2 linked regions of the Yarrowia lipolytica genome follow. The protein of the gene in region 1 binds, or shares a complex with, the protein of each later gene. Links are inferred from orthologs where the notes say so. Each region holds a gene or a part of one and is shown on either strand. Other genes may lie near its edges.

Region 1 (3,387 bases):
CTAAAAGTAACGGTGACCAAAAAATAATAATACAAGAAAACCACCGCTATCTATCCCCACTTGAATAAAAAGCACGTAGCCAAGCCATTGGTTGCAGTTATATTCGCTTGCATTTGCCCCCACCAATTTGAAAAGGCCTTCATTATTACAAAGCCAATGTGGGAAATTGGTGCCATTGTGTACAATACAGTATCGTAGCTACTGCACCGTTATACAAGTTCAAAAAGTAGCTACTTGTACCAGTACTCGTAGCCGGGAACTCCTCAAATGCATAATATTACAGCTACATTTCGTTCAATAAATACTGTACAGTCGTTAGAGCGCCATACTACTCGCGGTCTCCGGTCCCGCTGTAGCAACTGTTAAATGTTACCTTCGAGCTACTTGGACAATTATGCCTTCGAGCTACAACCAGTACGTACTGTCTGAGCTACTTGTATTGCCCATACGGTACATAGTCATGTATCGTCCTCAAAATATTTTCATATAATCAACACTATATCATGCGTGTAACCACGCGTCTTATTTAGTATGTTACTCCTTAAGATTGTTTGCACTCCTGGGCCTCCTTCTTGCCTCCCTCCTCGTCGTCCTCATCATCATCGTCGTCATCATCCTCATCCTCATCGTCGTCCTCATCCTCAAACTCGCCCATGTCACCATGCTCCATCTCCATCTCCAGAGCAAATCCGGTGAACCAGTCGACGGCTCGGGGAATGAGCTGCTCCTTGATTTCCTCACCAATCTGGTAGTCAAGCTGCAGAGCATTGTCTCGCTCCTCATGGTCAACCTCCTCGTCCTCGTCCTCTTCCTCCTCATCCAGGGCCTTGGGCGGGCTGAAGAAGGTGAAGAAAGACTCAGTGGGGACGGCCTTCTCCACGATTCGGGTGGCCTTGGTGTGCTTGTTTCGCTGCTTTCGCTTGGTGATCTCCATGGTCAGGTTCTGCTCAGGCGACTTCCAGTCGATCTCTTCACCCTCGGCGTGGTCGTACATGAGCTCACCGGTGTCAGACACCTTGTCGAGGTAGAAATACGACTTCTTGAGCTGCTTGTTGGTGAAGAACTCGTTCTCGGCGAAGTCAAAGATGAGCACAAAGCCAGGCTTGTCGTCGAGATACTCCATTCGCACATTCATGAGCGACTTGAGAGCCTCGCTATCTCGCTCGGAAATGAGACCGGAGGCACCGGGCAGGTTCTGGATGGCGGTGAGCCAGAAGTAGGGAATACCCTTGGCATCGGACTTATCATCACCCTCCTTCTCCTCTTCTTCGTCCTTTGCATCCTCGTCCTCCTCGTCCTCATCCTCCTCAACATCGTCTCCGTCGACACCAAACATTCGCTCCATTCGCTCCTGTTCGTATTTCTTACCGGCCTCAACCTGCTCCTCAGATACCTCCTTCTCGCCACCAATGACGGCGGCTCGTTCGGCGTAGATGGGGGCAAACTTGGCCTGGAACTTTCGCTCCAGTTCCAGCATCTCCTTGTGGAACTCGTCCTCCACCACGGAGGCCTGCTGGTGCAGGGCCTTGAGACCATCGATTCGTCGTCGCACAGCCAGAGGCAGAGAATCGACGTAGCCCGAAGAAGTACCGGCCATCTGGTTGAGTCGACCGGCAAGATGGGACAGCAGAGCGGGGTCTCGGCTCAGAGCTCCGAGGTCGACCTCCCCCTGACCATCCTCAGCAATTGTAGACACTCCAGGGTTGGCGGCTCGCTGGAGGAAAGATGAGGCGTTGGAGGCCGGGGTGTTCTGAGGGGTGGGGGCAATGCTGGACAGCTGCTCGATTCGCTTGGACTTGATGGGTTCGCTCATGATTATTTGAGTGCACTAGGTGTGTGGTGAGGTATGTGTCTGTGTGCAGACTGGTGGGTGTGTGGAAAAAATCTAAAGCAGCTGCGGGTGGTCTGTTGGAACAAGTATCCCAATTGGAGTTTATTTGGCTAAAAGGCAGGGTAGAGCTAAACAGGTGCGGGAGAGGAGATGGAGGAGGACAAACAGCAATCGGTTAAAAAGACGAAAAGCATGGCATGTATCCTGATTAATAACCTGTACTTCTACAGTCTCTTCCCCATTGACCTACTGAATTGAGAATTGAGCGTCTGACTGGTCATACGTACGTGTGTTCTTTTCTACGATACCTGCGCGCCCATATGTATCCTCATTCACCCCTGTGCACACAACGTCCAGCACCTGACGACAGACTCACACCAATCTCCAGAGCACGTTATTCGGACGTCGTGGTTATTGATTATTCAGGTTTCTGGGGTAGCTGTGACAATGCACCTAATATTAGGGGTAGTTTCTAGAACTTGACTGCCTGCTGTTTCGGAGACAAGTGTGCCTGCACTCTGCCAGTACAAAGCCTTCCTCCTGCTGCTGGTCCTGCCTTGTTTGGTGCCTGACCTGTGCGTACATTACATTTTTTTTTCAATTCTCTCTTCGAAGTCCATCTTCAACCGTGCGGTGCGGCGTCTTTTTTCGCCACTGTCCTCTTCTTTGGCTGCTGTCCCCAACCTTGGCAAGCAGACCAAGGGTTAATCTCAAAATGAAATCCGCGGCACCACAGGGAAGGAAGGGGTACAGTAGTGTGTACAGTAGTGGCGATACGACGTAGATTGTTGACGACCGACTGAAATCAATTGTGTGTGTAGACTCTCTTGTGGGTAGTTGCATACGTCACAGTTGTCAAAATGTTGTTTGCAGGACAATTCACGTATTACTCACACAAGCACTTGTTTTTACGTTGGTACTCTTTTAACGGTTGCATGTCCTAAACTGGGGTACGCTGTGGGTGACAGATTACCCCATCCCGCGAAGCCACGATGCAGTAGAAGTGATCGTAGACATCAACCAGGAAGCTACAAGTACGAGTAGAATCAAGAGATACGGTCTCAATTTGCCACCTCGCTACCGTGACTCATCATGAGTCATGCTTACCTCCGACGATTGCAGACAATGCCGACTCCCATCTATCTTTGATGGCCATAAACCCATGGCATAAACTCGGACCCAACGGATCCACGCATATTCGAAACCAAGCCTCCAGGTCCCAACCCCAATTGACTCAACACGTGCTGTGGAGTGACAGAAACACAACAGTGGTCGTCAAGTGCCATCGTGGCAGAACATTGGCCAGTGTGACGACAATCTGTTAATATGCACGTGATAAGCTAACTACTTGTAGGACTATCTCTTATACTTTCCATAACGATCACACTACGATACGATACTATCATATTGTCCAGTACAAGTGCTTGTAATTACTGTAGGTCTTGTTCCAAATAACCCACAATGCTCCCATGAGACACGACTCATCACCGTTAAGGTATGATTGCTATCTTCCGTTTCCCCGCTTCTTCCATTGCTCAGTGACGGATGAAGGATGA
Region 2 (3,495 bases), on another chromosome or scaffold:
AGGTTAACATGGAAAATATCCTGAATACCGTGAATAGTGGTTGAAGAAGAGACAAATGTTGGACAGCCTCCTATCCCACGACCCAAATTTACATGTTGTACTAGTTCCATTAGTCACACAATGACTCACTAAAACAGACAGTGGGTAGGGCCATTTAGGTTCACTCGTGAACACACAATAGTCAAGCTCCGAATTATGGCGAGGCCACCATTGAGGTAAAAAATTGCCTTTAATAAACGAGGTGTTATGACGTACGAGTACCTGTAAGAACAGATGAATTCAGATGACTTTTTGTTCTAGGATCTAAAGCAGCTTTCTTAGCCAAATGCCACACACTAATGTTCATGTAAGGTCCTTGGGGGTCCCCTTACACCGCAGTGTGCCACGAACGAGTGTGCTCGCTCCTTTATCAACACATGGTTGGGTTTCATCTTGATCTATAGGTCCGAGTTAAAAAAACGCGATCTATGTCACAGGCACAAATAAATGAAGCGATACAAGGTCATCTCTTATACTGTAGCGACAGTGAGCACGACCGCTCTCACAACATGCAGTGCAGCTCTAGACCACTAATGCAACTTGTACCTGCCACCGTTCCTCTACTGTAAGAATAACGCCGTACAGCATCTGTTAGCTCTGAATGTACTGTAGGGAGCGGGCTAGAGTTGGGGTCCTTTGAATGAGAGGGAGGAAGGAGAGTATATCTGCACAACTTGAGTGTCTCATACTATCTTAGGCGGATACGAGGTGACACATTTTACAGTATGCACGACTCTAAGGGCTGTTTTGACTCGTCGTGGAAGTATCAATGCATGGACCTGGGGTAACAACTAGAGCAACCAAGTCCGGCTATGAGCAACTACTGTACACAGAGAGAGGGACAATCTGCTATACCTGACCGCTATACCTGACCAAGTGCAGTAAGTATCGTACAGTATGTACAAGTATTGGCACTTACATGTCCCAATTTGCAACAGAACCCTTATCAGCTGCACACTTCAATGGCACCAAGCTTGACTACAATTATAATTGAAAACGTACGAACCGTGGTAGGTGTACCTGTAGTTCGCCCGACAAGTGGATGGATTCAGTCCAAAATAACAGCCAATCGGATATTACCGCTGGTGACACTCTCAGACACATGTCTATGATGGTCATTGTTAGCACCGAAAAATTCTTCACTCACAATTCAACAATAGCCACCTTCTATGATAAACCGTTTGACTATGGGGTTGTGTCAGGCAGGTTACAGGACACATTAGAGCAGCGAGACAGCCTCGTATTTCGTATTTTCGCGGACCCGACAAGACAGAAATAGCTGTTCGAAACACGTTAGATCTAATTTCTTTTCAAATTATAAGTACTCGTACGGCATTCATACCAATTCCATGCTGGGAACGCTCACTGCCGGCTCTAAAGTTTCCCAACCCAAGACACGTTGTTTTGGAACAGGACGCGTTGTATCCACGTGACGGCGGTTGCCTGGCAGCACGCGTTCAATGTAAATGTGGTTACGAATGCCTAACACGGCAGGTCGAGTGGGACGACGTAGGGTAATAATTCTCGAGAATACACCGCTACATATTTGTTGGTCACATTACAATCTGTCTAATTAGAAATTATGACGTGTAGTCGAATTGTTGATTTCCCCCCTATTTCTCGGCCGGGTAACCTACGCTAACCTCCACGTCTGCACCTCCTAGGATTCTCGCATCCTAATCACGACATTATACCTATCAATCATGGCGACCACAGCACAGGCTGCTATTCAGAGCATTGGCGTGGCCAATCTGCCAAACCAGCGGTGAGTATGGAGAAGTGTGAACCGGTTATGGGCTCAGAAACACGGATACACTGGTTATGAGCTATCACTCGTCCTACGTGGAGACATTGTATACACCACTAACACAGACACAAGATTGTGGCCAAGAGTGGAGCTACCTTCACCCTTATGGTGGCTGGCGAGTCTGGTCTCGGAAAGACCACCTTCGTTAACACCCTCTTCTCCACATCCATCAAGAGCTACACAGACAACAAGACGCGGTTCAAGCGACCCATCAAGAAGACGGTGGAGATCGACGTGACCAAGGCCGAGCTGGAGGAGCGAGGATTCCGAGTGCGACTCAACGTGATCGACACTCCCGGATTCGGTGACAATGTCAACAACCTAGACTCTTGGCAGCCCATTGTTGAATTTCTGGACGACCAGCATGAATCTTTCATGCGTCAGGAACAGCAACCAAACCGTGTCGGCAAGATTGACATGCGAGTCCACGCGTGTATCTACTTTATTCGACCCACTGGCCACGGACTCAAGCCCCTGGACATTGAGGCCATGAAGAAGCTGTCTTCTCGAGTGAACTTGATCCCCGTCATCGCCAAGGCTGACACACTGTCGCGCAAGGAGCTGGCTATCTTCAAGCAGCGAGTTCGAGACACCATCATCGCGCAAAACATTCGAATCTACCAGCCCTCAGTGGATGAGGAGGACCAGCGAGCTGCTGAGCACGCCAAGTCGCTTATTGACGCCATGCCCTACTCCATCATTGCCTCTGAGAAGGACGTGGAGACCCCTGATGGTCGAGTGGTCAAGGGCCGACAATACCTGTGGGGAGTTGCCGAGGTGGAGAACGAGGACCACTGTGACTTTGAGAAGTTGCGATACCTCCTGATCCGAACCCACATGCTGGACCTCACAGCCTCCACTGAGGAGCTGCACTACGAGTCGTACCGAACCCAACAGATGGAGACCAGAAAGTTTGGCGAGGCCCGGCCGCGAAAATTCGACAACCCTAAGTTCAAGGAGGAGGAGGACGCTCTTCGAAAGATGTTCACTGAGCAGGTAAAGCTGGAGGAGCAGCGATTCCGACAGTGGGAGCAAAATCTCATTGCCGAGCGAGATCGACTCAACAAGGACCTCGAGCAGACCCATGCTAGCATCAGAGCCCTGGAGCAGGAGGTCGAGCAGTTGACTATGAAGGCTGGTAAGCGATAAATCTGATTTTGTTATTTATGGTTCCTCTTGCTAATCTAGGATGTTGGTAATTTTGTAATGTATAATGGAGTGAACGTGGACGACGTTGAGCGTGACGAACGCGTAAGGAATCGACACGACTGTGCCACAGGTGAACGACTAACAATATCCGGGGATTATGGAACGCGTTTTAACAGCTCCCTTCGCTGACCCTGGCGTATCTTGATGCTGTGATGATGTATGTTAATGTATTACTAATCAGAAGGATGTATATTACGACCATATGTACTGTACCATACGAGAACAAGTGCAATACCATTGAGTCAGATCTGTACACGTTTCTCCATCTTCTGGTATGTATACGACTAGAAAATTGTGAAGGACGCAATGCTCAGTTGTGTGCCCTGGTCTAAGCTCGGTGAGCCAGACACAGGTTTGAAGACTTGGGCCCAATGTGCTCTTCGGGTTGTGGCCAGGAGGATAAGCATGGTCGGAGATACTTGAAAAACGTGAACGACTTT

The links.
Region 2: YALI1_B19044g (region 1) and YALI1_D35768g share a complex: the UniProt entries of both Saccharomyces cerevisiae proteins name them as parts of the GIN4 complex. The link is inferred for Yarrowia lipolytica from reciprocal best matches to the Saccharomyces cerevisiae genes NAP1 and CDC12.

Annotation. Positions count from the first base shown.
Region 1 is NC_090771.1:1,902,659-1,906,045, forward strand, and holds YALI1_B19044g (uncharacterized protein), read right to left. Parts: upstream 1,814-3,387; coding exon 542-1,813; downstream 1-541. UniProt on the Saccharomyces cerevisiae protein: Acidic protein, which assembles histones into an octamer (in vitro). Involved in the regulation of the localization and the function of the septins during mitosis. Involved in the function of B-type cyclins.
Region 2 is NC_090773.1:3,575,173-3,578,667, reverse strand, and holds YALI1_D35768g (uncharacterized protein), read left to right. Parts: upstream 1-1,742; coding exon 1,743-1,804; intron 1,805-1,911; coding exon 1,912-2,995; downstream 2,996-3,495. Other genes in the region: YALI1_D35787g (uncharacterized protein), read right to left, coding at 1-10. UniProt on the Saccharomyces cerevisiae protein: Septins are GTPases involved in cytokinesis that assemble early in the cell cycle as a patch at the incipient bud site and form a ring approximate 15 minutes before bud emergence, which transforms into an hour-glass shaped collar of cortical filaments that spans both sides of the mother-bud neck.